3 linked regions of the Xenopus tropicalis genome follow. The protein of the gene in region 1 interacts with the protein of each later gene in a pairwise test. Links are inferred from orthologs where the notes say so. Each region holds a gene or a part of one and is shown on either strand. Other genes may lie near its edges.

Evidence for each region. The genes of interacting proteins can lie anywhere in the genome.
Region 2: the proteins of pogz (region 1) and nfya interact in binary tests that used the Homo sapiens proteins (3 or more experiments, as listed by UniProt). The two-hybrid records come from large-scale screens. The link is inferred for Xenopus tropicalis from reciprocal best matches to the Homo sapiens genes POGZ and NFYA.
Region 3: the proteins of pogz (region 1) and zxdc interact in binary tests that used the Homo sapiens proteins (3 or more experiments, as listed by UniProt). The link is inferred for Xenopus tropicalis from reciprocal best matches to the Homo sapiens genes POGZ and ZXDC.

Annotation. Positions count from the first base shown.
Region 1 is NC_030684.2:144,795,503-144,799,625, forward strand, and holds the start of pogz (pogo transposable element with ZNF domain), read left to right. Parts: upstream 1-1,301; 5' UTR 1,302-1,509; intron 1,510-1,633; exon of another isoform or gene 1,634-1,655; intron 1,656-2,931; 5' UTR 2,932-2,985; intron 2,986-4,123. UniProt on the Homo sapiens protein: Plays a role in mitotic cell cycle progression and is involved in kinetochore assembly and mitotic sister chromatid cohesion.
Region 2 is NC_030678.2:71,392,307-71,394,966, reverse strand, and holds part of nfya (nuclear transcription factor Y subunit alpha), read left to right. Parts: intron 1-387; coding exon 388-489; intron 490-2,660. UniProt on the Homo sapiens protein: Component of the sequence-specific heterotrimeric transcription factor (NF-Y) which specifically recognizes a 5'-CCAAT-3' box motif found in the promoters of its target genes.
Region 3 is NC_030680.2:133,011,586-133,015,134, forward strand, and holds the end of zxdc (zinc finger protein ZXDC), read left to right. Parts: coding exon 1-357; intron 358-446; coding exon 447-531; intron 532-940; coding exon 941-1,101; intron 1,102-1,748; coding exon 1,749-1,850; intron 1,851-1,961; coding exon 1,962-2,048; 3' UTR 2,049-3,038; downstream 3,039-3,549. UniProt on the Homo sapiens protein: Cooperates with CIITA to promote transcription of MHC class I and MHC class II genes.

The sequences.
Region 1 (4,123 bases):
GTTACTTTTATACACTTTCATTTTTTGGTGTTACTGTTCCTTTAAATAGGGCCATTGGGCCATTTCATATTTTCATTAATGACACAGGCAGCCATATTGCTACTAACAGGGAAGCAGGAGGCCATTGATATGACAGTAATTAAAGACAGAAGCAGCCATATTGTTACACTGACAGCCATATTAAATAGCCATTGGACAATTATTATTCTACATAGTTATTAGTGACACTGGCAGCAATATTGCTACACACAGAAAGATTGTTATGAAAGACTTTCTAATGACACACTGACACACATATTACACTGTTATTACACACAGTTACTAGTGACACAGGCAGCCATATTGCTACACACAGGAAGACACTGTTATTAAACACTATTATTGACACAAGTAGCCATATTATGACACTGACAGCCATATTAAATTGGACCATTGTTATTTTTACAGTTATTAATGACAGGGGAGCCATATTGCTACACATAGGGAAGTAGAAGGCCATTGTTATTACACACAGTCATTAGTACCACAAGCAGCCTCATTATTAAAGTGGAAGCCATATTAAATAGCCATTGGGCCATTTCATATTTTCATTAATGACACAGGCAGCCATATTGCTACTAACAGGGAAGCAGGAGGCCATTGATATGACAGTAATTAAAGACAGAAGCAGCCATATTGTTACACTGACAGCCATATTAAACAGCCATTGGACAATTATTATTCTACATAGTTATTAGTGACACTGGCAGCCATATTGCTACACACAGAAAGATTGTTATGACAGACTTTCTAATGACACACTGACACACATAGTACACTGTTATTACACACAGTTACTACACACAGTTACTAGTGACACAGGCAGCCATATTGCTACACACAGGAAGACACTGTTATTAAACACTATTATTGACACAAGCAGCCATATTATGACACTGACAGCCATATTAAATTGGACCATTGTTATTTTTAGTTATTAATGACAGGGGAGCCATATTGCTACACATAGGGAAGTAGAAGGCCTTTGTTATTACACACAGTCATTAGTACCACAAGCAGCCACAATATTAAAGTGGAAGCCATTTTAAATAGGGCCATTGGGCCATTTCATATTTTCATTACTGACACAGGCAGCCATATTGCTACTAACAGGGAAGCAGGAGGCCATTGATTAAAGACAGAAGCAGCCATATTGTTGCAGTGACAGCCATATTAAAACACATTGAGCCATTGTTATTTCACACTGTTGCTGCCCCTGTCTATTCCATCAAGGGTAGGGCCTTGCAGCCGTGACGTCACGGACCGCCTCAGGCAAGCAGCCAATCAGGAGACGCGGAGGAAATGAAGTCACGGTATCCATCCGCGCCGTGTGGCCCGTGTCCCTCCGCGCCGCTCTCCCCTCTTTGTACGCAGCTGGCGGTTAGTGTCCGGCGGGTGTGACCGGGGGGAGGGAACCCCGGGGCGGGACCGAGCCTGGGAGCGAACGGGGCTGCGCGGCAGTAGGAGGAGGTAAGAGGCCGAGTGGGCGGGAAGGATGTACGGGTAGGCCCTGGGGCCCTGCAGTGTCGGGGTGCGGGAGTCCAGGCCACAATGTAACCTTCCACCTCCATGTTGCTTCATGGGGATTATTTTGTGAGGAGGAGCATGGTGTAGGGGTGAGGGCTCCCTGCTGTGAGTCTGTAGTGGGGTGTAAGCATCAGCACCCATGGGTGGGACAGCACCAAGGGGAATGGGGGGCTCACACAAGTGAGGGGTGGGACAATGGCAGCACCAAGGGGCCCCTCAGGCACAACTATATTATTATTATATTGCTGTGTATGTATATATATATATATGGCTGCCTGAATGCACACAGCTATCCCTGTCATGTACTGGCCAACTGGCCCATATATATATATATCATAGAGATGTGCGCGCCCAACGTTTGGGCCTTTATTTGCCCCCTTCCTCAGGCCGCAAGGATTCCCAGCCCCGCGGGTTTGACTCTGTGTGTATATATATATATATATATATATATATATATATATATGGCTGCCTGAATGCACACAGCTATCCCTGTCATGTACTGGCCAACTGGCCCATATATATATATCATAGAGATGTGCGCGCCCAACGTTTGGGCCTTTATTTGCCCCCTTCCTCAGGCCGAAGGGATTCCCAGCCCCGCGGGTTTCACTCTGTGGCCGTAGAACCGCATTTATGCGAATCCAGTTGCCCAATCCGTGATCTCCGGCTTTAGCCAATGAAATTGGAACCTGTTAGGGTTTAAAGGGGAAATATTGCGTGAAAAAAACATATGAATTGTACTTATCTCCCTATAGAAGGAATGGGCTTTAAAAAGTAGTGTTTTGGGTGTATTTATTGAAAATATCTTTATAAAACTCCACTAGTCCCGCCCATCTGTCCCACTTCCTGCTGGTTCCTTTCCCAGGCCCGCCCACTTCACCTTAGCACAGGAACCAATCAGCAGCTAGGCTGACCTGATAGGGACCCGAAGGCTGTCTGTGCTTGTGATTGGTTCTCCCACTCCTACTGTGCTTCTGGCAGGGACCGTTGGGACACGCCCACCCCTCATATGAAACCCAGACAGGGACCTGAGAGGATCTATAGGGAGCTCCAATAAAGGGGCCATTGTTACAGATTAATGTTTAGCCCAAAGGGAAACCAGCAGGTCCATTCCGTTTGTGTCCATATATTCTCTCCTGTGGGATATAGGAACTCTGGGTCGTTACCATGGTTACCTTTGGGCACAAAGTTCTTGTTCTGCCCTCGGATCATACCAAATTGAGCCCCAAACGGAATTTCGTTGGAAGTTGCACAATGTGTACCGGGCGCTGGGCCCAGAGCACCGGGGAGCCGAGTTCTGTTGGGTTATTGTAAATGAACCATAATTGCGAAATAATGATTTCTATTTATTTTTGATGTTTTTAGGATTAAAGGCAGAACTTGCAGCTGAATTCTCCGTGTCCAGGGATCAAATAGAAGGTACTGTTGGACTCTCGGCTCTGTCGCTGTATGTAGGAGGTTGGACTATTGGTTGGACTATTACAGTTGGTACATTAGTTGGTCAATTTCCCAGCAGCCCCTTCAGCCCCTACTGAGCATGCTCCCTGAGCGTTACTAACGTCTGTCCCATAGCAACTGTTACAGTTGGTACATTAGTTGGTCCATTTACCTGCAGCCCCTACTCAGCATGCTCACTGAGCGTTACTAATGCCTGTCCCATAGCAACTGTTACAGTTGGTCCATTAGTGGGTCCATTTCCCAGAAGCCCCTTCAGCCCCTACTGAGCGTGCTCACTGAGCATAACTAATGCCTGTCCCATAGCAACTGTTACAGTTGGTCCATTAGTTGGTCCATTTCCCAGCAGCCCCTTCAGCCTCTACTGAGCATGCTCCCTGAGCGTTACTAACATCTGTCCCATAGCAACTGTTACAGTTGGTCCATTAGTTGGTCCATTTCCCTGCAGCCCCTACTGAGCATGCTCACTGAGCGTTACTAATGCCTGTCCCATAGCAACTGTTACAGTTGGTCCATTAGTGGGTCCATTTCCCAGCAACCCCTTCAGCCCCTACTGAGCATGCTCACTGAGCGTTACTAATGCCTGTCCCATAGCAACTGTTACAGTTGGTCCATTAGTTGGTCCATTTCCCAGCAGCCCCTTCAGCCCCTACTGAGTATGCTCCCTGAGCGTTACTAACGTCTGACCCATAGCAACTGTTACAGTTGGTACATTAGTTGTTCCATTTCCCAGCAGCCCCTGAAATGGAACCATGAAGGATTTATAAACCCCAAAGTATGAGTATGAAGCAGTACAGGGGTATATGTAGCCCCCAAGCATGGTTGCAGAATGCCTACTGCCTCTAATACCCCAGTCCATACCCCGGAACTGACTTTGTGGCAACAAGAACACCCTGACTCTTTTGCATTTAGGTCTCCTCAGAATTTTCATGGGGTTCCACGTGGGTCTTTATTTCAGCATGGCAGATACACTAAACTCTCACCCCCCCCCCCCCCCCCATTTGCTGGTTATAATGGGCGGAGTCTGCATAGGGAAGCCACGCCCTGCTTCATTTGGCGCTCTGTGTTTTACAGATTTAACAGAACCCAAAACGCGTGTCAG
Region 2 (2,660 bases), on another chromosome or scaffold:
CGGGGTCCAAGTTTAGTGATTATATTAACTACGGCATCCGTAACACCCCCAATAAAGTAAAATTTTACATTTAAATGTAATTTTCTAAAAGTATCTGATTTGTGGTGTTAGAGGGCCTGCAGACACACACAAGATCTTAAATGAGCTGCAGATAAGATGCTTCTTTCTTACACCTCTCCACACAGAGCAGATACTGCTTAGAGTGCTTAATATGCTGAATGACTTTCCCACGTTGGAAGAAATCTGCCTGGTAAATTAAATCCTGGGCCTTTGGTATTGCAAAATGCTCTGGAAAATGCACTGCTGAAATGTAGTTACAATTTTTTTGATACCATAAATATACCTTTGTCCAGCTGCATTGTGTAATACAATCTTTTTCTTTCTCAGAAATATTTGCATGAGTCCAGGCATCGCCATGCTATGGCTAGAAAGAGAGGGGATGGTGGACGTTTTTTCTCCCCTAAAGAAAAAGAGAGTCATCATTTACAGGTAAAAGATACATGAAAAAACAATAATAATGATGGCTTACAGAAATGTAGAGGCTTATGAGGAATACTGGACTACCAACACAAACACGGCCTCCCCAAGTACAGTCTGGGATGCATCTAAGGTTGCTGTGAGGGGAACTCTAGCTCAGGCAATAGCACAGGCCCGTAACAACGCTAAAGGCCAAGTGAAACAAGCAGAGGAGGAGCTGACCCAAGCAGAGAGAGAACACATTCTCTCACCCTCAGACCTCTCCTATAATAAGTTACTCCAAGCCAGGAATGCTCTAGAGAGAGAAGAAACAACTCTCACCAAAAAAGCTATCCTATACCAGTCCCAACGAACCTTCGAAAAAGGAGACAAAAATGGCAAACTCCTGGTTTTTCTAGCCAAGGCCCAAACCTCTCCCTCTGCAGTAGCAAGAATCCAAACCTCAACAGGGAGATGGGTCACTGAGCTCTCTCTTATAGCACAAGAATTTGCAGTGTTTTACCAAAAACTGTACACCTCTACGGTAAACTATACCCCTACTCAACTCTCCCAATATTTAGATACTATCACAATACCGACACTATCCCCAGGCTCCCGGGCATTCCTAGACCACCCAATATCCACCAAAGAAATAGAACAGGCCATAGCAGACCTACCCCCCAATAAAACCCCAGGCCCAGATGGACTCCCCTCGGAGTGGTACAAAACCCTATCGAAACCAATGTCAATCCACATTTTGAAAACCCTACAGTATGCATATGATACAAAGATGTTCCCCCCCCCCCCCATCCCAACTAGAAGCTCAAATAGTGGTAATCCCTAAACAAGGGAAAGACCCATCTGACTGCTCTTCCTATCGCCCTATTTCCCTCTTGAACACTGACGCAAAAATACTAGCAAAAATCCTGGCTAATAGGCTCAAGAGGGTTATAGCTGACCTCATACACCCTGATCAATCAGGATTTATGCCAGGAAGGTCTACAGCCTTCAATATCAGACGTCTATACACCAATTTGCAACTGACACACGCAGAGAAAGGTTCCAGAATCATCGCCTCTCTAGACTCAGCCAAGGCCTTTTATTCGAATGGCCATACCTGTGGGAAACGCTGAGAAAGTTTGGCCTGGGTCCAAGATTCATCACATGGGTAAAACTTCTATACAACGCTCCAAAAGCGTGTGTCAGGGTAAATGGGATTACCTCGGCCTTGTTCCCCCTGACGAGGGGTACAAGACAAGGATGCCCCCTATCCCCCATTTTATTTGCCCTAGCAGTCGAGCCCTTGGCTATACGTATCAGGGACTCACGATCTATTAAAGGCCTCACCTATCAAACAATAACCGAAAAAGTCTCACTTTTCGCAGACGATCTCCTTATATATCTAGCTGACCCCGATGCATCCCTATCTGCCCTGCTGCAAACAGTCAACCAATTTGGGAACTTCTCAGGATTAAAAATAAACTGGGAAAAATCGGTCCTCTATTCCCTAGACAATCCTAGCCCTCCAGCCCTGGCAGTAGATACTCCTCTCAAATGGGTCTCCTCCTTCAAGTACCTGGGCATCACAATACACTCAGGTCTCGATTAATATATACCCCACAACTTAACCCCTGATATAACCTCTCTCACGAATGATATGGAGAATTGGGCCAAACTGCCACTAACTCTATGGGGGCGAGTCAACATCTTTAAGATGATCTATCTACCAAAGTTTTTATATATTTTCCATAATGCTCCAGTATATTTCACTGCCAAAGTATTTAAAAAAAATTAATAAAATACTTTTTCCCTTTTTGTGGGTCAACAAACAACCCCGTATTTCATAGGAGAAACTAACTGCCTCCTATGCAGATGGAGGGTTGGCGCTTCCAAATCTACAGTTGTACTACATGGTTTCGCAGATATATTATCTACATTGGTGCTTCCTCCCAGACCCCTATAACCCAAACATGACACTTCAGGCTCTCATTTTGGGCTCAATAGAAGGGATGAGTAACTTTCCCTACCGACATGCTAACGATTTCCCTTAAGTACCCACTACACTCTCTGTGCCGTTTAGGAATTGGATTGCAGCCCTGAAACTCCATAAAAGAAACCCACCATTGGTCTCAGCTAGGCTCCCAATTTGGGGCAACTCCTATCTCCCACATCTCAGAAACCTACAAGAATTTATATTCTGGCCA
Region 3 (3,549 bases), on another chromosome or scaffold:
CTTCAGCAGGGCACCTTACAGTTAGATGATGTGCAGACAGTGAATGCAGAAGCTTTGGGTTCCCTGGCATCTTTATCCATGAGAGGTTCAAGCCAGGATATTCAAGGTCTGACATCCAGTAATAGTCTGACCATTGACTCCACTTTAACGCCCTCAGTGAGCCTTGGAGCTAGCAGTTCCGTGCCAGAATTGCTGACCCCACCAAAAACGGACAGGAGTTTGATTCCAAACCCTGAGGTTGTGGGAGAACAGGAAGGAAGTAAAGTTGTAACACAGTTTGCATTCTCCAACCCCACTGGTAGTTATAGTGCACAGAAAGAGATGGATTACAGTTTGACAGCTGGGAGCTCCAGTTTGGTAAGTAGCTATATGTTGTATTTGGTGTTAAAAGCATTGAAAAGCCTTGTTATTCTGAGGATTAATATTGGAAATGTAATTCTTTTAAACAGGAGAGTGGCGGTTCAGCGAGAACAGATTACAGAGCCATTCAACTAGCCAAGAGCAAAAAGAAGGGGGGTTCTGCCGGTGCAGGTAGGAAATGCTCATTATGTGTAACCAGTGGTGCTTCCTTTGTGGGGCAGTAAGGGAAAACCTTGTAAAGGGGTGGAGAATTAAAGTGGCTGAGAGATTGTAATACTGAGTAGCTTGAATGCCTATGATAGTTGTGTTATAAAAATGAAACGCCCATTTTCCTGGTGAACAAATAAGCCCAATAAATTGTACAGATTTGTTACGCAACTGAAATAATTTTCGTAAAAGAATGATTGTTCTTCACCTCTTGTATCAGTTATTGATTGGCTTATATGTTACTCTGTATGTCCAACGTATGAAACCCACTTATTGTACAGCGCTGCGGGATATGTTGGCGCTTTATAAATAAATGTTAATAATAATAATTGTTCTGACTGCTGCATATTCTATTTGGATTTGTTAAATAAAGGGACTTCACCTACACAGAGGAAGAGCAAAAGTGCAAAGCAGAGCCCAGTGGCATCCTCCAGTGGCAGCAGATTTGGAAGCAACGCAGTTATGTCTAATGGCGGACTGACGCTACGAGACCCTGCTACTGGGGCCCAGTATGTGCAGATTCAGCTTCTACAGGTAAATGGCATTGACAAAGCTTTGGGCTTTGCTATAGACCAGTGATCCCCAAGCAGTGGCTCATGAGTAACATGTTGCTCACCCCCGCCACCTGCTTATCTTGTACCCAGTGGCCTCAAAGTAGGTGCCAATATTTCTCTTTCTGGCTTGGGGCAAGTTTTGGAAGCACAAAGACTATAATCCAAGCAGAGTCTCCTGCAGGCCAGCAGTTCACTTCGCTTCCAAATAGCCAATCACGGTCCTTATTTTAAATTCTCAAGATACTTTCTTCATGCTTGTGTGGCTCACCAACACTTTTTACATCTGTGTGTGGCTCACAATTAAAAAAGTTGGGGATCCCTGCTGTAGATTGTCCCTTGGCCTTTATTACCTAGAGCAGGAATGTCACTGTTCTTACACACATCCTCAAATGCTTACAGTAGATGGAGATTGTTTTTCATTGTTACACTGCACAGCGCTGCCCAGAGATAATTGAATCATGAAGCCTTTTATGGTGTTTAGTCTTGTGTAGCTTGTAGGACAATTGCAGTTCCCTTTGTTAGAATGACATTATATAATAAATAATCTATATAAGAAATAAACCATCAGACACCCCTGGCATAGTTGGTTTCTTTGTTCTCACTGTACTGCTGCTTTACTGCTTTCAGGATGATCCTCCAGGAGATGGAGACCTGCCTTTCCAGCTGAACGCTCAGTCTCCAGCATCACATGCCCAGCTCACTGTTGATCTGCCAGTACATATACTGCAGGTATGCCTACTTAGCGCCCATAGCTGTTCCTCCTTTCAGTTCTGAAACCCAAACGCATCCATTCTTTATTGCTTGTGTCCTTCACACACTGCTTTTGTCCCTTCGTTTCAGGAGCCTCACACTTCAACAGAGGAGGACGTGGCTTCAGATAATTCTCAGTTTACAGGAAGTACAATAAATCTGCAAGACCTGGAATAAGGGGTATTAAACTTCAGTATCGGGACAATGAAGCTGCCAGTATCTAGTGCTGCCTTTTTGCAGCATATTCCTCAAGCTGGACCAATAAATCTATAATGATGGCATTTTCTTATTGCACTATATTCTATGCTTTTACCCAGATGGTTTTCATATAAACGGGATGTTTATTTTTGAGGAAGAATTCTGGGGGCTGTTTTTTTTTTTGTGGTTGCTCATCACCCATCCGAAAAGACTGCGAATGTGGAATAGAATGGATTTCTAAGCAGAACTTACTGCCTGTTTTTTAATGAACAAAATATTCTTGTTTCCTACTTGTGATGTCCCCAATCTCCCAAAATGGATCATGGTTCAAGTCAAAGATTTCCTGATGCTCTGTAGGTATTAATAAGAGATCTCGTTAGAGACTGCATTATCTACCTCCTATAAAGACTCCCAGTGTTAAGTTTCCGGATTGTGCACAAAGTACAAGCTGCGGGCACCACTGATTCCATTACAAAAAAGAATGTATTGTTTTTTTTGTAAATAATAATTGCTAATATTTATTGGAGTGCATGTTGCTGGAGCCCATGTGCTTTGTTTGGCCGGTTTGTGGGGTACCAAAACCAGAGGGGTCCCCATGATTGAACAGATGTTGCACAGAGTACATAGGACCTAAACTGTGGTTTCATTTTTATATGTTTCTGAATATAGGGGTGCCCTCGCTGCTGCAGCAGTGCAGCCCCAACACAGCAGGGCCACAATTAATATCTCTTGACTGTAAAATTCTCTTCTCAGAATGGGCCTAAACCATCCTTCATTGCTGGGGCACCTTTCTCTTAACTCCAGTTCTTGTGTTGTATTTTTTTTGTACAAAAGTGTACAATTGTAAATGACTGTACATAAATATATATATATACGTATTTTCCCTCTTACATCACATGACCTTCTGAATTTTTTCTGGCTCTAAGAAAACATATTCTGAGTATTGTTATAAAAGTGTTTATCAAGCAATTTAGTGTTTGTCCTTAACATTATGCAATTTGAAGAGAAGGTAAATGGTTTTCCCCATGTTAGGTCTATTAAATGTATTTTAAAGTGAATCTATCACAGTAAAAGTGTTTCCCTCACTGGAGGTGCAGACTAATATAGTCTGAGCTCCGGTTAGGAAATAGTACTATTTGGGCAAGGTAATTCTCCTACTGCACTAGCAGTGTGGGCAGCTATGTTTTGTAATAAGCAGGCTGGAGCGTTTCTCATTATTCACATGCTTTAGAATCCCAGCATGGCCGCCTGAACCAAGAGCCCCCCTCCTGGTGGGGGTGGCATTTTTTTTACTGGGAGAATTTTCTGGCCCAAATAGTATTGTTTTCCCCAAACAGAGTGTGCACCTCCAATGGGGGAAAATCATTTTACTATGATAGGTGCCTGTTAAGTTTATAATCTGTGTGTATTTGAATATCTACTACATATGGGGTTCCTTGTTGACACCTGGTGGTACCTGAACTATAACAAAGCTCTTCCT